Linked DNA regions of Astyanax mexicanus. The protein of the gene in region 3 interacts with the protein of the main gene of each other region in a biochemical or structural test. Links are inferred from orthologs where the notes say so. Each region holds a gene or a part of one and is shown on either strand. Other genes may lie near its edges. The genes, in order: tyro3, tyrosine-protein kinase receptor UFO and gas6.

Region 1 (7,108 bases), on a different chromosome or scaffold from region 3:
ACTCTATCTGACAGCAGGACTTTACACGCAGCGTCTCCGTTTACACTTAACCTACAGGCAACTTGATACACAGGAGAGAAACAACAAACCCCCTTTGGACGGGGAGCCGGTGACACACAAGCAGAGCACAAAATAAAACACGTATAAAGTTTTAGCAACCAGTTTTACTAAGTTAGCTAAGTTAGCTCACCTAGCTTACTAACTTAGCTTCACTGCTAGCTCAGTTGGCTAGCTAGTTAGCTAACTAACGTTACAACAATACCACACATAACCTGTGATTTCGTTCACTAGTTTACCTAGTTAACTACGTTCACTGTCAAAACTTATTTGTGAGCAAGTTATTATTCCGTTTATGAGCTGAATATCAAAGTGAAAGTTAGCATTCAGTGACTCGCAATCAACATGGCTTTGTAACTTACCATGGAAACCACGGCGAGCATGGCTGACTTTCTGTGTACGTTACCTACACTACTGTGTAAAAGTCACGGAGAGACTTCCTACAGTACAGCCCGGGACAGGCTCCGGATCACAGCCCAGAGGAGAGCAGTGGGGGAAGTGAACAGAGCAGAAAACCTGATGATACGCGATCTGTCCACTAGAGGAGGACAGACGATGGGTTTTGGAAAACGCTCATCTCAAACTAGGTCTGGGCGAATCTCAAACGACCTATCGCTCCCTATATAATCACCAGCTACCTAGTGCACTACACAAGGTTTAAGGGTCCTATGGGTAAATTTCAGTATAACCTGCATTTTGTCTCTAAAGCATAGTTTTTGAAATTGATTACACCAATCTGTAACAATACAACTTTCTCTGAATAAACACATTTTAGAAACATAGAGGAATGTTAACCTTCACTCTAGATCGTGTACATTATATATATATTTTTTATGTAAGCATGTGCTTTTGGCAACGATTCTTTTTAATAATCCTTTAAAGTGTTTAACTAACCCAACAAACCCTTTTTTATTTTTAACATGCTTTTAAATGATTTATACATTTCAGTTATTTGTATTTGTTATTTGTAGCTGCTGCATGTTTAACAGATATGTGACTTTACAACCTTCACACTGTTTTATTTATAAGGAACTGAAGACACATGCTGACTGCTCAGGAATTAATAATATTAATTAAATCTAATATTTTTCATATTGTTACCTTCCTAAAATAACCACCTACATAAAATTTCCTACACCCTCAGCTGAACAGATCATTTGATTCTACACCTTTAGGATAATGTCACAAGTGTGGCTAATTTATTAAAACTAGGTCTAAATAAAATGTGACTTAAGCAATTTTAATAGCTTTCCAAGATTTAGCTAACTTCATTAACTAATTTACACAATGCAGGGCTCATCCCCAATTGATAAGGGATGAGATTTGTACTCTAACATAAAGTTTTATTGAGTTTAATTAGTCTGCAATTTTAGTAATTAATAATTACCCTCTATATGCTGTAAACAGCCATTATGAATTTATGTATGTATTTGTAAAATAAATAATAACTGTGTCTGAAACTTAGGAAATGTTGTTTACTCCGAGACTGGAAGTCAAAGTACATATTTTTCTATTTTTATTATTTAAGATGGAAATTTAAAAACATTACAACTAAACTTAGCACTAAACTACAGCAACTAACATTAGTGCAATACATGATGTGGACGTAACATTATGCCGATAGACATACTCTACAGTGTTTATGTTGTGGATTCAGGACAAGCTTTCATCCACAGCTTTTACACCTAACCCCTCTTTTGTCACCACAGTTTTTAAATGTCTGGCACTTACACACTGACACATCATGAAACAAGTGGGAATTAATCAAATACTAGTTGGATGTCCTCCCTCCCCCAAGTAACACAGACTTGGTTACAGCCATTATATTTTTGTGCATCTCATATTTGATCAGATATATGTGGGGGTGTTCTAAAACATCTGACCTGTAGTGCATTTCTATTACTATTACAATTCTATTACTATATTTTAGTGCCATTTAATCTCATTTAAAATCTTGCTAATTACTTACTAATATTAATGACTAAACTTAAAAACATGAAATGCCATCTATCGATATGACATCAACAATGTCATATTAATACCATGCTCTTCATCTCTGAAAAGAGAGATTACTGGGCTCCAACAGCATAAAGATGAGTGTACAAGTTTTTATCTCATATAATCTTGTCCTCTCCTTGTCCTAAGAACAATCAGTCTCTAGCAGTTGAATAATCTTCATGCCTTTTAAAGTCTCTGAAAAAGTTGAAAAGAAATGAGTGATTAGAAAATGTCTCTACACAACCTTACGCTATGTGAAACGGTCATGTAGGCCATTCTGAGGAGAGTTTAGTTTGTTTTCCTGTAGCTCATACTCTTGTGGTCAAAGCTCACATTATTGTTATTTTTAGTTTTGCCCAGCACAAGAAAAGTGTACTGATAAGAGCAGAACATCTCAGTCCTATAAAAATCATAAACAGCTTCCAGCAAAAACATCTTCAAGGCCTGAACAGATGAGGCCTGAGAGATGATAAAATGCCTTTATTTGTCTGCTCATCAAATCATAGAAATAAAGAAGGTCAAGATGACAACGAGAACATATTGTAAGACAATTATTTAGTATGTTTCTAAGGACATTTATGTTTAAATATATTCTTACTTTTATGTGTTTCTATCTATCTATCTATCTATCTATCTATCTATCTATCTATCTATCTATCTATCTATCTATCTATCTATCTATCTATCTATCTATCTATCTATCTATCTATCTATCTATCTATCTATCTATCTATCTCTGTTGTGTACACTTATTTAGTGTGGCTGCTTCTCTTCCTGAGAGGAGATCCTGTTCCAAATTAGAAGGTACTTTATGGTAAGTTCCAGCCCCTAGGTCTACGATCACTACCTACTTATTTCCTCCCTTATCAAATAATGGGAACAAGCCTTATTTACTGAATATCTGCTTTGCAAATTCTAAACATTTGATGAGAGCATTACTGTTATTTATTTTTGCCATTTGATAGTGATGGATTTTCTCTTAAAGGAAACCACATTTAATGATAACGTTATTTAGTGTGGGGTTTTAGGGTACAGTGTACAAAAAATGTAAATGCAAACTGATATGTACAGATTTGTTTGTCAATGGCCTAGAGGTCCTATAGCTAGGAAAATAGCTATAAATATATTTAACATGGTACGTATGGGTTAACTGTTTTTCCACCACTTTTTTTCAAACATGTTACTAGACACACAATTTGTGCTAGCCTCTTGTGGCCTGGTTCTAAGCAAACATTTGGCCTTGGATTGTTGGTACACTTGGCAACTACCAGGCCCTACTCTTCAGTTGAGATTTTAGGAACTGCCATGTAGAGAAAATCAGTTAAATTATTTATTTGTGCATATTTATGCAGTGATTTCTATATACTTATAAAGCTCTGGAAAAAAATAAGAGACCACTTTAGTTTCTGAATCAGTTTCTCTGATTTTGATGATTTATAGGTATATGTTTGGTTAAAATGAACATTGTTGTTTTATTCTATAAACTACGGACCACATTTCTCCTAAATTCCAAATAAGAATATTGTCATTTTGAGCATTTATTTGAAGAAAATGAGAAACGGGCAAAATAACAAAAAAGATGCAGAGCTTTTAGACCTCAAATAATGCAAAGAAAACAAGTTCTTAATCAAATTAAGAGTTCAGAAATCAATATTTGGTGAAATAACCCTGGTTTTTAATCACAGTTTTCATGCATCTAGGCATGTTCTCCTCCACCAGTCTTACACACTGCTTTTGGATAACTTTATACCACTCCTGGTGCAAAAATTCAAGCAGTACAGCTTGGTTTGATGGCTTGTGATCATCCATCTTCCTCTTGATTATATTTCAGGGTTTTTTAATTTGGTAAATTCAAAGAAAATCATTTTAAGTGGTCTCTTATTGTTTTAGAGCTGTATATCGTTTGCCCTCTGTAAGAGCTGGGTTTGAGGTGGTGGCTGGATCCACTGAGTTTTGGTGTTTTTTCAGCAGATGGTCTCTAGAGGGCATTGTGTGGGATTTCACACATTCCCCCACAGCGCTGAAACATTTGGAAGTGTGAGGAGCTCCGTCCAGTTTCCTTTACTGAACCAAGACCGTGAAGCCGGGATGTTTGGATACTGCTCGGCTGTGTGTGGAGTATGGAGAGTGTTCAGGCGGGGATGAGGTCTGAGCGGGGTTCTGCTGCTGCTGCTGCTGGCTGCGTTGGAGACTCTGGGGACGGGACTGTGGAGCTGCTGCTGCCGCTGTTCGGCACTTGCTGCTGCGAATACCGAGTAAATTAGCGATTCAGCAACCGCGCCTGTTTAAAGTTGCTGGTCTTGTTGATTCAGCTGAGGTGAAGCGACCGAGTCGCGTTTCAGAGGATGCTAAAATGGGAATTAAGTTTTGGATAATATTTATCCTCGTTCATTATAGTGAAGGAGTTCACGGTAAGTTTGTTCAAAATTGTGTGGATAAATAATGATAAACAGAGTGTAAACAATGTTAATGAATAGCCCACTTAACTTAACTAGTTAGTTAACGTTAGCTAAGCTAAGCTAAGCTAGCTAGGTTAACTAACTTAGATAAGCTAGTTACCAAATTAGTTCGTTTTTGTTTTTTTTGTTAAATTGAATTTATACATTCAAGTACATTTATAACAAGTAACTTAAACAAAAAATAAAGACACCTCAAGTTAGGTTAGCTAGGTTGGCTAACTAACGTTAGATAACTTTAACGTTAAGTTACTTGTTGGAAACCGCAGCAGCAGCAGCAACAACAACAACAGCCTGGTTTACCCTCTGGACTGTATTCAAGCAGAATTATAGCTTTATAAAAGAAACCAGCAATCTAAAATAATCCTGCAGTCCATGCTGAATGGGCTTTAAAAAAATAATTATTAGGTTACCTTTTCTTTTATAAAAAATAGATCTTTTTTTGCATATACATAAAAAAATCTTCATTTTTTATTCGGCATCACAGTGTTTGTTTAACATTGAATCTGTCATCTAGCTAATAGTGTCCCCACATTAGTTCCTCCATAGGCAGTGAATGTAGGCATTGATTAGGCTGTTCTGGCTGAAGCTGCAGCACTGTAGAAGCCAGCTGTAGTCTGCCTCCACACTGGAGAGCTTTCATCCTTCTGCAGCTTGCATTACGTCTGCTAGCCTCAGTCAGAGCATGGGCACTGGAACAGGTCTGTGCAGTGGTTTTGGCACAATGGAGACCACAGATTTGGGTACAAAAGCTTCTAAAGCTGTGAAAATGCAAACTTGTAACATGTTTGGTGGTATTCGAAACAGAAAGGTCTGCAAAACTAAGGTATTTTATCTTATTGTGATAAATTATGTGAACAATACACTTAATGTTGATTTTCTTTTGGATTTCTTCAACACTGACCAACTGTATTTTTTTTTTTATTTAAAAAAAAAGAGTGCATACATCATCATAATTTAGATAGCCTTGTGGAAATGTAGCACTGGGAAATATTTTGTTGGTTTGTGTTGTTAACAAACATGTTCCACCATTATGTGAATTGGTTTTCAGTTCTAACAACATCTGTTTATTAATATATGCAGTGGTGCTTGCAAGTTTGTAAACCTTTTAGAATGTTCTATATTTCTATGTAGATTCGACTAAATCAGATTTATTATTAAGATAAGTTGATACATTTGCCAATGCTGATACAAAAACATTTATAGAACTTAAAAAAAAAATCAGCCCCTGATAACTTTAAGGCTTTGATATCACAAACTAGAAATACTCTGTAATAGACTGTTCTCTCTAGAGCCAGTGTTTCCTTGATTGTACCACATGTCAAGATGTTCCCATCTGTACTGTGTGTTATCTCTCAGGGCTGAAGTTCACCAAGAACCCAGCCAACCTCACAGTAACCCAAGGTAACATGGCCCGTCTGGGCTGTGCCATTGAGGGCCTGAGCGAGCCGGAGATTGTGTGGATGAAAGATGGAGAAAAGCTGTACAGCACGGATCAGATGTACATCACTCTAGAAGCCCATCACTGGGAGACCTTTCACAGGTAAGAACATTTCTGCTTATTGTTTACAAAATCTGGAGGGCAAAGATTAAATAATGTAAATAGTCTTTAGCTCTTTATTTAAATAGTCACAGATCATCTCTTATGACTTCATACATCATCTGATAAGGTGTGTCCTTATGGCTGTTAAATCTTTTACTGTTTATTACTGTATCTCACATGACTAACCCCTTGGCCTGTGTGTGTACATCCTTTTGATTTGCTTGAGTAACCCAAGTCAGCTTAGAATTTGGTTTTGGGATTTTTTGTAAAAGGAACAGCATGGAACATTTTAAGTGGTCGTCCAATAACTAAATTTAGGCTGCAGTAATTCTTCTTCATTCATTTTAGGAACTTATTGTCCTTGCAATAAAAACATGTGTCTATAAAATGGTGAATTTACAGGAAATGGCCCAAATCTTTATTTTAAGACATTTTAGAACCTTTTTATTGTGTTAATGGTGTATTAATCAAGAATTATTCACACATCACCTACAGGGTTCAAACAGTAGGAGAAAAATAAAAACTGACAAGGAATTGGGATGAATTTTTCACCAGAGAGCAGCGATAATGTAGTGGTTCTTAAAACTAAACACTGCATTTTTTAGGGCTTCATTTCAAATTCACACCAGTCTGAAGAAACAGGTTTTCAAACATTGTAAATGCCTAAGAAACAGATACGTAGTGTAGTGTAGTGTTTTCTCTGTGTTTCATGGTTAAGTGTGAGTCAGAATTTGGATGAAATGGTGTTGCAGTTAGTTAATCAGCTTTAAAGACTCCTTCAAAAACCTTCCCTCTGCTTTAGGCTTTAATGTAACAACACAACACAATACTTGAAGTAATGCGCAAACCACTGATAGTTCTGATGGTACTTTATTTGAATTTTTAACAGTTTAAAAATTTCAGCACATGTTTAATTCTTGTTAATTGTGGCTCATTCTTCCTTACAAAAGGTTCCAGTTCTGTGAGATTCTTGTGCGTGACCTGATCTTTTGAGGTGTGTCCTTAGATTTGTGATGAAATCTAGGGTAGGAGGGCTATGGCGAAACCACCAGAT
Region 2 (7,324 bases), on a different chromosome or scaffold from region 3:
ATCTTGCTTCTCTCAGTTCAATGGCGTGCTCCTCTTAAAGTCTGGCAACAAGGCAAATTGTCTTTAAGCGCATCATAGAGGCATGTGTAGCAGTCAACAATCTCTCACCAAGAGGTACAATGCCCAGAAGTAACCTCTGAGAGGCTATTTATAAGGCAGCGGAGAAAGCACTTCTAGTTGAGACCCAACCTCTAACAATTTACATATCTGTCTGAGACATTCAGTTAGTGCATGCTAAGTTTTGCAGCAATTCAGGGAGGTAAATTAATTTTTCAGTAAGTGTAGTAAAATAACAACTCAACAATAAACAATTGGTTGTAGATCTCTGTTTGTGTTGCCATTTGAAACAATTACAATGCAATCAACGCAATAATAAAGGTTGGGATATTAGTAAGTAATTATTAAGTTGTAAACTGCATTTAGCTGTAATATTTGTTTTTTATTCCTAGTTACATTTTCAGCATATCTTGAAGGACACATCAGAGCTGTTGCTGAGGTGTGATCTCTTAACTGTTGCCTGTTTAGCCAGTTTTTTGCATTAATGCATAAATGGAATGAACTTAATCCACCCTTGGAGCTCTCTCTCTCTCTCTCTCTCTCTCTCTCTTTTGCTCACTCCTAATTAACCCTGCCCTTTACTGCTGTGCTCTGTCTTCCAAGAAAAAAGACCTCCATTCTTCTAATTTTTGTGTTTTTGTCACTCTGTCTCACTCTCTTTCTCTCAGGTCCCTGCTTGCTCTCTCTTTTTCTCGACTTTTTGTCTCTCTCTCGCTCTCTCTCTCTCTCTCTCTCTCTCTCTTTCTCTCTGCATGTATCTATGTGATGTGTGAGCCTGATTCCTCCAGTCGGGTCCTATTGAAAAGCGAAGGACACACAATGGGGTCTTTCTCAGGCGAAGCTCCATCTCCATTAAAGACCCTGGGAACACTGCTCAGTCCCCCGCAAACCTTCACTTAAAGGGCCGACACACACCCACACACACAAACTCGCGCACACACACACACACACTCACACACACACCACACCCTCAGTAGTGCAACCTGACCCCACAACAACACCACTTTCCTGCATCTTCATGGAACAGAGGGAATCCTCTACTCCAAAAAACCCACAAACTAAATAATTCATGAAGTATCAATTCTTCCTTTCCCCCTCCTCTTCCTCCTCCCTCCTACTACACTATATCACCTCCTTCCCTCAGGTTCCCTCATCCGAATTTAAACCTCCACCTGCTCCAGACGTAGACACCGCAAAGCGTGCACCCAAACAAACGAACACAAATGCAGCAGTGTTGTTCTAATGAGCTACTTACTGTCTGTGTTACCTTCTGTCCTTATCTTTGTTTATGTCTCTGTCTGAGGGGGGAATTGTTGACTCTAATTGGGTGGAATCCCACAAAAGAATTTAAACACTTCTTACGCATACTTACGAAACTTTAAACTGTTGTGAGAAAATTCCATTTTTTTTTAAAGATTTAGTCTAGTTCTGTTTATTGCAATGCATTTCCAGTCAGTGTTTTTGCAGTGCTGACTCCACCATGGATGGAAAAGTGCTTTGGCCACAGATTTTCCTCTGACAAAACAGTGACTCAGAATCGTTTGTTTTTTAAACAAATCTTCATGATCTTATGTCTAGAAGACCACAGTAAAACTCAATAAGGTCATGGGATAGCAGTGAAGGGGAAGCGTTAAGAATGCCCACACCTGTATAAGTTGTGAGGTATTATCTTGTGAGTGAGGTTGAACAGGTTGGCCAGTGTGCTCATGGCAAGGTTACATGAATTCTTGGAGTTTGAGTGAGACCTGCTTGTGCGAGCAAGATGGTTAAGACCTTTCTTTTTTGATTTATTTTTTCTTTAAAGGCATTACCACCCACAGGGGACAGCACAGTAGGTAGAAATGATTAGAACTGGTGGTGTCTGGCTAGAGCTGTCCGTACGGACCAACAAGCGACTTACATTCACTGATTCTATTTAATGCAGAAGTCCTCACATGCATATCCCATGGGTCAGTGCAGTGAAAAGTAATGGGGCACAATAGAAGTTCCTGTCTCTTTTTGGCATGTTGCTGTACCTTTAAAGAGTACAACAAAAAAAGGACTGAAAACATTTTTGCTGGGGAATCTTTATTTTGTAAAATAATATTTTTTATTTTATGCCAGTATGGGGTAATCTTTCCCTTTTCTGGGGGGTTTACCCCTAGACCCCCCTCTAGATAAAGCTTAGCCCCCCTAATCATAAACCTCTAAGTTATGCCCCTGGCAAAATCCTAGTCTCTGTTCAAGTTCTATCTACAGATATTTTGAAGATGTTTAGGTTGGGGACTGTGAGGGGGACTGCCTAGGAACAGTTTAGTAACACCCTAGCAACCAGCTTGCAACATCTAAGCAACCACCTAGCTATACCAGAGCAAATGCTTGGCAACATCATACCAAACAGCTGGTAACCACTTAGCAACACTATAGTAAGTACATGGGATACCATAGCAACCTCTTAGCAACACCATAGCAACATCCCTGAGCAACTAGTGGGAACAACTTTGGCTGTGCAGACCCTTTATAAGAATTGGAAAGTTCTTTATAGCTATGTGTCCTTCAAGTTAACTTATGAAGTCTGTAAGTAACTTGTACTAAACATCCTGACAGCATCACCACAGGACATTGTGTGTGAATCTGTGTTAATTTATCTGACCTTATTAACAGAATATGGGAGTGATGGGTTAGTGCTGGAGATAAAACTAAAACACAGCACTATAAATAATAATTAATATTTTATTATTTAAAAGGCTGTCTGTAAGGAACGGGGATTTGTGGGATGCATGAAAGATTTGGCAAATCCTCTCTGTCAAGACAAACAGCTTATTCTTCCATTGACTCGTTTGGTGTTTGATGATCTTCTTGGGGTGTCGTCTTCTTGGGACGCCCACATTGTGCACTGTCTCTGACATCCCCAGTTATATGGAACTTGCCCTTCAATTTGGAGATGGTACTGGGGCTCACTCCAAAAAATGTCGCAACCTGGTTTTGCAGAACACCAGTTTAAAGTTGCCCTATCACGCAGGCTCTATTCAGAACAGTTAAATGTCGCATGATTACAATTCTTGGAGCATACGCATACACCTACCACCTGACCACTATAATCTGCCCTTTAAGTGGCAACCAGGATCTTGGGAGTACGCGAAGTTCAAAACAAGTGTCAACAGCAACAGAAAAATTAGTTTTTGGCAATTGCAGAGAAGATTTGGCAAACATATTAAGGGCTGTTCATCCCACAAATGCCAAATGCATGTTCCATACAAATGTGGCACAATTTAAAATGGAATTATTTTTAAAAGTATAAGATTTCTTGCCAAGAAGCATTGTTACAACAAGGAAATATTCTACTAAAAACTAATTTCCTTACTTTTTGTGGTATGTTTAAACTCCTTTTAACCCCTAAAATGACTTCAGGCTACAGGTGTAGGTGATACATATCCCTTTTTTCTGCAGTAAAATAACGTATTATTATAACTTATTTCCTACAGGACACTTGGAGAAGCTGCCTGTTTACTCTCTATTTCACTTAATAATTCTAGATCAGTAAAAGGAATCAACCCAAATTCTGCATCTTTGAAAACAGACGTAAAAACTAGACAAACATAACAAAACTAAAGGTTTGGAGGACATGAACTGTTTGATTTGTATTCAGGAAAATATTGATTTTTAAATTAAGTTTTTTTTTTTTTCTATTTTCTATTACAATTACAGTTATGATTTTCAGTGATGCTCCTTATCAAACATTGAAAGCTTTTTATGTAATGCTTGAATAAAAATCCTCAAGATTTAGTGGTGTAATGTCAGGCCTGGGCTGTTAGGGGGTTAAATTGATATTTATCTTCTACAGGTCTCAACCACTTAATACATTTAAATTATCACAATAATTGAGTGTTTTACATCTTTTATAACTAGTTTTTGCTTCATTTGTGAACAAAAACTTTAATGAGCTTCTTACTGAATTTATCTGATTCAATTTCTAATTTGGCATTAATTTTCATGGGTTTAGAAATGAGTCTAGGCTCTTATGTGTTAAAACAAGTAAAACTTTGTTTTACTTATGAAGTAAAAGATAGATATAAATAAATAACACATCAAACACAGCTTTGTTGACTTGTTGGGGTGATAAATTGGCAATTGAAGCGTAATGTCTACCCCAGTGACCCATCCTCCCCCCGCCTTTTCTCGTCTTCTGTGAGAAAAAGAGGGAGACTGAGAGAGACCCAGAGGGAGGGATGAAGAGAGGGAGGAGGAGGAGGAGGAGGGATCGAGGAGAATGGAAAGAAGTTGTGTGGAGGAATTTGTTTGAGTCCTGAAGTTTGAAGGGGGGAGTAAGAAAGAGTAGAGGGGCTCTGGTGAGGGAAGGTTGGGGTGTCTTGGGAAACGGCTTGAGGAAACAGGACTTCAAAAATAGCTAACTAGCTCCTAAAATAGCTACTTTTAACAACTTTTGAGGGGAAACTGGAAGACCGGGAGAACTATAGTAAGCTAGTGTGGTTCCTGTGAGGGGTTTATAGGTTAGGAGAAGTTTAAAATAGTCTAGTTCACAGGGAACTTTAGTTTTTCTACCACTTGAGTTTTTGTTTATTTGACAGAAACTGAGTAACTAGCTAATTTACCTCAGCTGAAAGAGAACGACACCAGACTTCTCCGCTCCACAGCATCAGGTTTCAAACTGTTTTTGAGGCATTTTTTCTACTCGAAACCTGAAAAGGAGAACTCTGTGGCTGAAAGGAAAGTCTGCTGCTTAAACAGCAACAGCTTGAGCTATCCTGTCTGAGGTTTAACAGTCTTTTTCAAGGTTTAAAACGTGATTTGAAGTATTGTTGTGTTGAAGCGATGCGGTGACGGTGAGTCATCGAGTAAACACCGCGAGCGCGCGATTCCAATACAACCAAACTAACGAACCGTCTCCAAGAAGTTCTCACACTGAGAGCAAAGAAGATGAAGACCTTCGGATTTCTCCTGCTTTTTCTCACCCTGGAGCTAACCACCGCTGAGAGTTTATCAGGTAAGTCATGGCTGGCTTGTTCTGTTGTGTTTTCAGCAGGTTTAAGTGAAGTTAATCAAGTTTTGAGGAGCAGGAGGCTTGAGTAACACTGTAGAGCAAGTGTAGAGCAGACTCTTAAGAGTTTTGGGGTTGCCCATTGGAGAAGGATAGCATCCACCAACTTCTACAGACCCTAAAAGCCTAAATTTTATCCAAACTCCAGCTTTTGGATTTTTTTGTACAGTTCATTAACATACAGCTTCAGACCACTTCAGTTTCTGAATCAGTTTCTCTAATTTTGCTATGGACAAGATTTCTCCCAAATTCCACATTAAAAATATTGTCATTTAGAGCATTTATTTCAGAGTTCAGATATTGTTTCAAGAGTTCAGAAATCAATATTTGGTGGAATAACCCTGTTTTTCAATCACAGTTTTCAGTTTTTTCCTCAACCAGTCTTACACACTGCTTTTGGATAACTATATGCCACTCAAAATTTAAACAGTTCAGCTTGGTTTGATGGCTTGTGATTATCCATCTTCCTCTTGATTATATTCCAGAGGTTTTCAATTTGGTAAAATCAAAGAAAGTAATAATTTGTGGTGGAATATAGTCAAATCCTCATTATCAGCTAGATATTTTCTTAGAAGAGTAGGTTAGATGTTGTAAGACGCTTCATATAAATATTTCTGTGTTTGGGAAAACTTTGGGAACATTTCTCCACTGTTCCTTATGGCTGTTTGAGTTAGTCTCACTTTTCTCCAATGAGGCTTTTTACACTAGACATTGGAACACTGTTGAGAAAATTCATTAACTAACTTTTGAGTGTGGTTGGATACAGTCAAATCCACACTACACTGTGTTTTCATTAAAGGGTACAGGTTGTGAGAAAGCTTCATATTAAAACTCTTGAGTTTGGAACAGCTAAACACTCATTAAATAATGTTTTTAAAGCTGTGTATAAATCTGCTGTTTATTGTTTCTTTTGACAGTTTGAGTTTGTTCCACTTTTCTCCAAGAAGGCTCTACACTAAATTGTTGTGAGAATTGATTCATTGACTGCATTCAGTCCCAGGAAAAATTGTAATTTTATGTACTAGAGATTAATGATCAGTTCCTAATCACAAACATTATTCTAACTCTTTTGGGTGGAGATTTGTAATTCCAGACAACACAGTTCCAGTGATTTGTTAAAATGTGTAATAAGTGTAAAAAGTAACTCCAGCCTAAATTGTCTTTGTATTTGAATATTGTCAAATTCTCACTACAAGGTGTTCCAACATCTAATGTAAAGCCTTTCTAAAAAAAGAAGAGGGTGTGAGCAATGTTTTGACTTTGGAAGAGCTGCCCATTAATGAATAAACCATTAATACACTATTGTTACTCAATCAGGCCTAATTGTTTTGCTGATATTTTCTCTTTATAATTTCATCTATTTTTTTTAAGTTTGGTTCAAGAAAGACTTTTACGTTTTATATGTTATAGCATGGCTGTGAGAGCTGGTTCACTGCATTTACCCTCAAGAACATTAGTAATGTCAGGTTCTGAAGATTAATGATTAGTTCTGGGTCACAAACATAAGGTTTGGGTGGAGATCTGTCACTCCAGAGAACAGATCAGCCAACACTTCTTAATAAAGCTTTCTTAATAAATGTATAGTTGTCTCATGTATAGTAGCTCATGACTTTGGAAGAGTTTTTCATTAGTACAACATTATTTACATTAATACATTAATACATCATTTGCCAGACAGACAGAAAAAAACATTAAAGACAAAATGTATACATCTACATTTTAGTATCTTTCCATCATTTCTTTTGGATGTTTGGGTTTGTCCCACTTTCCTCATTAAATTAGATGTTTAAATATTGTTGTACGTTTTGAGGGACTGTATTTGGCCCCAATAAAACATCAGGCAATGGATCACAAACACTCTTACTTGTACCAAAGGTGTTGGGTGGAGATTTGTCACTTCTGTGCACTTTGAGAAAGTGATTGGTGATTGAGAAATATATATATATATATTCGTAGACAGATTAAATGAAAAAGTGGTTTCTAATTGGAAATTGGCTTATTAGGAAATTGGCTTAGTACTAGTAAATTGAATTTAATATGTCCCATACGACTTAACATACCTGTGCTATTTTACCTGATGGCACACCTACCCTACATATTGAAGTGAAGAATTTCTCTATGTGTTGTCAACCGGAGCAGAATGTGACTATTTTAAGTCTTAGTTCATTTCAGTGGTACTTCCTCTTGTTCTTTGTTTTCTTTTTCAGTTTCTTCCTCATTGATTTGGAA
Region 3 (7,121 bases):
ATCCAGATTCCAGTCAACATCTTACTATGAACATGCAGCATGTCTGCCTCTCAGTCTCTCAGTGAAAAAAATAACTCTGTTTAAAGTTGTTTGTTTGGAGATATTTTAGTCTGAAAATACACAAAAGTAAGACAGCTACTTGTAACATGAAGGTTTTTTGAGCCATCAATCATGCCAAGGGGCAGAGTTGCACTGTACAATTTACTTACTAATTTAATGAATCACATGCTGAGGTTTACATGAAAAATCATCACAAGGATGGAGTTCATGCTAGCAAATAGACAGGAAGACCCCACAAATTTAGTACATTGGCACAGCTATCGATAAAAATGTGGATCAGTCCAAGCCCACCACTACTCTCAATAGCTACCAGACCACTGGTTTCACTGGTTCAACTTCATCAAACCATCTGGAATGGACAACTGCCATCCTGCCCCTGCTCTCTAAGCAGCCACGCAGGAACAACAGCACCAATAAATCCCTCAGACTTTCGGGGACTTTTGTCACTTACTGTGCTGTTTGTTTGGAGGTATTTTAGTCTAGAAATACTAAAAGCAAGACAGCTGCTTGTAACATGTAGGTTATAAAGCCATCAATCACGTCAAAAGTTTAAGTTGCATTGTACTGCATTGTAATTCACCTAGTCTAGTTTAATCAAAGAGCACAAGAAGGGGGAGTTCGTGCTAGCGAATAGAGAGGAAGACCCCACAAATCTTCTATACTGGCATAGCTATTGATACTGGCATATATGTATATTGAAATTGAATTAGAACTGTGGATCAGTCCAAGCCCTACACTACTTTCAATAGCTGCCAGACTACTGGTCTCACTGGTTTAACTTCATCAAACCATCCAGAGTGGACAACTGCCAACCTGCCACTGCCCTCAGCCTCAAGCAGCCAAGCATGAACAACAGCACCGATAAATCCCTCAGACTTTCGGGAACTTATGTCACTTAGTGTGCTGCAAAAACAATACAAATCTGTGATAAAAAAGGCGAGTGTGTGTGTCTGGAGGGAGGACAGGGTCTAATTATATCGCGACTCGACTGCAGAATTACTAGGGCATGAAAATGAGGCACACAATCGTTCAGAGTCTCTCTGATAAGCGTCCAATTTCGGGGTGAAGGTCGTCGACTGTTAGAGAGACGGAATATTGTCAGCAGCAGCACAGCAGCAGGAGCAATGCTATCCTACAAGGCTAGTTAGCAAAGAGGACCAACGAACCTTGGCACGAGCGGTCACGCTAACCTACCTGAGCTACCTGGGTTAGTCAGTTGACGTTAGCTAACTAGCTAACCTACCTGCAGTACGCCGCAATAAGGACGTTAAGGACACACGCGCATTTACGAACAATTAATAAATTGTGTATTAAAACTTCGTTTACCGTTTCAGGGTCGTTCTCAAACACTTCTCGCGCCTCTTCTTTTGTACATCTCTCCTCCACACATTCTCTCTCCAAGTGTCCTTGTTTGGTTTCCTCAAAAACCTGGTTCGCTCGTTTTGGTCTTCTTAAAAACTGGCTGGCTTCCTCAGGCGACAAGGACACTGCGAAACACACACACATATAAAGAGAGGAATATTCGTCCAGGTGAAGGACAACGGTGAACAGCTCGGGTCAAGATGCAAGATGCACTTGTTAGCTAGTTAGGTTAGTTCACACTTGTGCCTGTGTCCAAAAACGACTAGCACAGCTAACGTTAAATAAACTGCTAGTTACTGACTATACAGCTCTGGAAAAAAATAAGACCACTTAAAAACGATGAGTTCCTTTGATTTTACCAAATTGAAAACAAGCCATCAAACCAATCTGAACTGCTTGGATTTTTGCACCAGGAGTGACATAACGTTATCCAAAAGCAGTGTGTAAGGCTGGTGGAGGAGAACATGCCAAGATGCATGAAAATGTGATTAAAAACCATGGTTATTCCACCAAACATTGATTTCTGTACTCTTAAAACTTTGTGATTTTTTTTGCATTATTTGAGGTTTGAAAGCTCTGTATCTTTTTTATTTTATGCAAATATATATTCTGAAGGTCAATATTGTTATTTGGAATTTGTGAAGGAATGATGTCCGTAGTTTATAGAATAAAACAAAAATGTTTATTTTACTCAAACATTTACTCAAACGTTTATTTTACTCTATAAATAGCAAAATCAGAGAAACTTATTCAGAAACTGAAGTGGTCTCAATTTGTTTCAGAGCTGTATGTAATAAATGTTCTATTGATAATGTGTACACAATCTTTAACACTGTATTAAGCTCGTTAATGTAGTTATTAAGGTTAACTAACTAGCTAACCTAGGTTAGTTAACTATTTAGCAATAGTGTGTTGTTTTGGACACAGCCACAGCTACAACAACTTACTTAACGTTACAAGCTAACCTAGCAGTGTTTTGGCTTGCTTGTTTCCCACAAGAAAAAGCGACAGTAGCTAAAAGCAGTAAGTCAGTGTTAATAGCAAGCTAACTAGTTATCTAGCTAGCTAGCCATGTTAGTATTTGTTTAAGTTAGCTAAGTTAGCTAACCTAACTTTAGGCTAACTAACTAACTACTTACGCTGCGAGGAGCAGGCGACGCACAGGAGGATGAAGAAACAGCCCGAGAGAAACTCTCCCGGGGTAAGAAGCATGTTTGGTTCGGCAGCAGACTCAGGAAAGTTCCTCCAGTCCTGGTTCTCTCCCTCACTCTTTCTCTTTATTTCTTCTTCTTTTTTTCTGTGCAGCTGAGAAAGCTTTCACTTCTCACAGCGGGGGAGAGTCTATACCGCTACATTCAACTCTCTCTACACGGCTTGCAGAGGCAGACGCATACCACAGCCCAGCTCCCTTTCTCTCCTCCACACACACTCACACACACACACTCTCTCTCTCACACACTCACATTCACACTAGCACGCTTACTCCCGCTCCTCCACACATACATACACCCCCCCTCACTCCCACCTCTCCCCCTCTCTCTCTCACTAGTCGTGGTCTGAACGTGAGCAGCAGCAGCAGCAGATTCGTCTATCCTGCTGGTGGAAAGTAAGTTAGCTCTAGCTAGCAGACACTGGGAGTTCCCAATGCAGAATGCGCAAGAAAGAGAGGCAGGCAGGCAGGCAGGCAGGGAGGGAGGGAGGGAGGGAAAGAGAGGGAAAGAGAGAGAGAGAGAGTCACTCTGTCACTGCAGCAGAAGTACTGCTGTAGTACTGGTAGCTAGATAAGCTTTGCATTAAAAGGCTGCAAAGTTATTATGCACCACCGCATGTGTGTTGATTAGCCTATGTCTCTGTGTTACTGAATAATTATAAAATGTGAAACACATATATTATATAGATGTATTACACACAAAGAGATCTATTTTAAGCATTTTTTAAAATTATATTGCTGATGATTGTGGCTTACAGCCAATGGAAACTCAATAATCAGTGTCTCAGAAAATAGAATATTATATTAGACCAATTGGTACGTTTGGCAGTGTGGGCAGTGTGCCAAATCCTGCTGGAAAATGAAATCTGCATCTCAATAAAAGTTGTCAACAGAAGGAAGCATGAAGTGCTGTAAGATTTTCCGGGAAAACACTGCACTGACTTTGGACTTGGACTTTGATTGAACACAGTGGACCAACACCAGCAGATGACATGTCTTTCCAAACCATCACTGATAATAAAAAGTTTACACTAGACCTCAAGCCGCTTAGATGTTCAATGATGGTTTCGAGAGCCATGTCATCTGCTGGTGTTGGTTAAGTGTGTGTAAAATATTAGTTTTGTCCGCATTAATATTTCACTAATCGTTAATTAATATTAACGATTCGTGAAAACCTCAAACTGTACAACACTTCCCTATACTCGTGTAGAGATAATAGGAGGACGACAAAAAGCTTTTTTCTGAGGTTAAGAGAGATACATATTTACAGATCCTGTAGCCAACATCACAGATGTTACTTGTTTTCGGAAACCCTGGATATTATCAGCAGGTGATGTTCAGCGTCAGTAGCAGGCACAACGCAACCACAACTAGCCAGCTTTGACATGTGTGGAAAGCAAAGCAGCGTACTGCACGATGCCCAAAGGCTCTGTTCAGACTGCAGGTAAATCAAATTTCTTTCCCAAATCAGATCTGTAGAAATTACCATCACTGCAAGTGATCAGATCAGATTTTGTGTCTGTACATCACAAATGTATGTTGCATAGGTTGCTGTGGTAGCAAGGTCAGCATCAGTAACTCATTTTTAAACTCTCTTTTTGGACTCCTGTACATCGGTTACTCTGGATTTGATGAAAGCTTTAAAATATAGTATAAGTCTTTACTGGACAGTAGAGACAGTTGCTCTAACACTTGTTATAAACACCCTTGATTTGAGAACATGCATTGAATAATGCATATGTCCCAGTACCTTTGTATATAGTGGAGTTTTTGAGAAGGTTTACTGTATTTTGGAACATGGCTACAGTGATTTGTGTTTCATTGAGCCACAGGAGCAGTTGTGAATTTGGGCATAAATGTTGAGCAGCAAGGCTTGGATCACAAAAGGATTTTCATTTTTCTTCAAAGGCGTTGAATGTAATAGAAGAAGCTCTGTGAAAGCTATGCAGGTTCTCAAACATATTGCCAAAAAGTGGAAACACAGTTCCCTACAGTGTTATAATATGTTGTAGCATTTGGAATCCCCCTCAGTGGAACTCAGGGTCTATTTAACAGCCTCAGAACGTTTCCCCCCTACATGAAACTTTACACTTGGCACAATGCTTTGCACGTGTAGTTTTTAGGCTAAACTCAACACACAAAGTATATGGACAAAATGTTGGGAGACCTGCTTATAATGAACTCATCTTGCTTTGAAGTAACTGTCTTTACTGTCCAGAGAAGGCTTTCCACTAGAATCTCTGGGAAAATCTGCTGTAGGATGCCATACAGAACATCTGTGCCCCCATGTCAAACCATATCTTATCTTGTTTCCAGACTAGAGCCCCCCAAAAATGTATGTTTTTTTGCTTAAATATTGTAATCACACTTGCAAACCTGCATCTAAATCCATCAACTCCTTATGTAATGCATTTTGAGTGTACTTCATAGTTTCACTATAAAGATAAATGACTGCTTGTAGCCATCATTTTCTCAATTTATTTCTAGATTAATGTTCATATGTTTATACAATTATATATTTAAATATTTTCAGCACAGCAGTGACTTTATTTGGAAAGTGTATTAAGCGCTTTAGTTTTGCTGTATTTTATTTTTCAAATGTCATTACTAGGTTTATTTCTGCCGCACTTGATTAAATATGATTAAACTAGAAGTTGAACAGTGTTCTCATGTGGACCATCTCTCCTCGTTTTTCTCATTTTGCACCAAGATTTTGTTTTCCAAAATACTGCAGTTAAACCCCTTTCCCTGCAGCTTTTTTCCAAAATATGTTTTTCCCCTCAGCTCTTAAAACATTCCTTCTTCACCACCACCACCAGCACCACCACCACTGCTAATCCCCTTTTGGCCAGAACTAGGCTAGATTACATTTGTTCACAATAAAAGCTTAAAAAACTTTACAATACAAAGATAAAAATGAAGTGGATCCTTTGACATTACCTGGATTTCTGCTCTGATTACTAACAAAATGTTTTTTGATCATTATTAGTCACAAGTATAGACAAACACTACCACCTGGAACTTATAACACACAAGCAATATTGTCCATGTCTTTTGTTTGGATTTGCAAATAGCCACAGTACAGGCTAGAAAAATGCATTTTATTGGTGATCAGAGCAAAACATTTAATAAATCCAACAATTGTATAAAATAAGAAAATATATTTATGGTCTGATCTTAAAGCATGATTGAAGATTTTCTATAATTCCATAAGTGCACTAGTACAATGTGGATTTTGAAAATTACAATGGGAACATTTTATTGTATGTATTGTATGTACGTGACATGCAAAAATGAGATTTTTTTGTCGTTTTTATTAAAATACTCAATTAATTCAACACAGAATAAAAATAGTTGGTTTACACTCATTCATCCCATGACTGAAAAAAAAAAAAACAGACCAAAACCAACCCAATAATAAAAGTTCTAATAAATGAATGTGTTCAGAAGGAACAGCCAGTTCATTGTAGACCAGATCCCAGTAAATATCTCAAGTTGGACCAGTCTTTTTTCTACATCTTACAGGAATACTTTGCATTTCATCAGTATAAATCAGAGCTCAGCTCTGTATTGCATTATATGCTATTTCTTGAAAACAGTGACAATGCCCTTTCATGACCAACAGTATTGGCCATTAAGAGCTTAAAAACTGCAGTCTTATCGTTTAGTCGTTAATCTTAAACTTATTATATGTTATAAATTATTTGGTAAATACTTGAACACCAGTGTGTTAGTTGTAACATACAGGCCTTTAAGGTTAAGGTTTACAGTAACGTCTAGATCTCAAGGTACTCAAGGTTTTAGTGTCGTTGCAGATCAACCTCAGAATAAACAAACTACTTTGTTTCTCAGGTCATTTCTGCTCGTCCTCCCTCTCTCTTACTCCTTACAAGTATTTACAGCTGGATAGACAGCACTAGTAATGTATCCCCAATGCTCCAGCCTGTGACATCATTTCCTGTTTAACGCAGCGAGGGTCTCACTGGCCGGAGGTTCAGGAGGGGAAACGGGTGGACAGGAGTGAGATTTGATGCTGTTGTGTTTGTTGACGGCTTCATCAAAATCAAGCAGCTTCCCGTTCACATTGATCTCCATGCAGCCATGGTAGTAGGCTGACACTGGAGTGGAGGAAAGGGGAAGATCTAAAGAAAGAAAAAAAGAGAGAGATTAAACAAATTGAACAGTGTCTTTCAAGTTGTAAGATGCAAAAAACAAAGTGGTATGTAAACGTTTGGGTACCCGCAGTCAATTTGTATAATAGTGAATATGTGATTAATAGATTCACTGATCTCAAAAACAATTTGGGGTAGCTAACTAAGTAAGCTAAAAATAGTAAAGAAAACTGTAATAAAAATGACTTTGCTTTTAAAGAAAAAAGAGTGCTGGATGTTAATCTACACAGATTTCTCTCCTGATAACTGTTTATTTGGGTGAGTAAAGTAAAGCTTTCGTTTATTTACTGTAAGCTTAAGTTTCAGAATTTCTCCAG

What was found.
Region 1: the proteins of gas6 (region 3) and tyro3 form a complex in vitro, tested with the Homo sapiens proteins (2 studies listed by BioGRID). The link is inferred for Astyanax mexicanus from reciprocal best matches to the Homo sapiens genes GAS6 and TYRO3.
Region 2: the proteins of gas6 (region 3) and tyrosine-protein kinase receptor UFO form a complex in vitro, tested with the Homo sapiens proteins (2 studies listed by BioGRID and IntAct, with this or other methods). The link is inferred for Astyanax mexicanus from reciprocal best matches to the Homo sapiens genes GAS6 and AXL.

The regions. Positions count from the first base shown.
Region 1 is NC_064421.1:18,847,884-18,854,991, reverse strand, and holds the start of tyro3 (tyrosine-protein kinase receptor TYRO3), read left to right. Parts: upstream 1-4,056; 5' UTR 4,057-4,408; coding exon 4,409-4,466; intron 4,467-5,870; coding exon 5,871-6,054; intron 6,055-7,108. UniProt on the Homo sapiens protein: Receptor tyrosine kinase that transduces signals from the extracellular matrix into the cytoplasm by binding to several ligands including TULP1 or GAS6. Regulates many physiological processes including cell survival, migration and differentiation.
Region 2 is NC_064411.1:43,828,701-43,836,024, forward strand, and holds the start of tyrosine-protein kinase receptor UFO, read left to right. Parts: upstream 1-4,323; 5' UTR 4,324-4,974; coding exon 4,975-5,041; intron 5,042-7,324. UniProt on the Homo sapiens protein: Receptor tyrosine kinase that transduces signals from the extracellular matrix into the cytoplasm by binding growth factor GAS6 and which is thus regulating many physiological processes including cell survival, cell proliferation, migration and differentiation.
Region 3 is NC_064428.1:18,957,382-18,964,502, reverse strand, and holds the start of gas6 (growth arrest-specific protein 6), read right to left. Parts: upstream 3,051-7,121; 5' UTR 2,635-3,050; coding exon 2,562-2,634; intron 1,548-2,561; coding exon 1,387-1,547; intron 1-1,386. Other genes in the region: pros1 (vitamin K-dependent protein S), read right to left, coding at 6,584-6,774. UniProt on the Homo sapiens protein: Ligand for tyrosine-protein kinase receptors AXL, TYRO3 and MER whose signaling is implicated in cell growth and survival, cell adhesion and cell migration.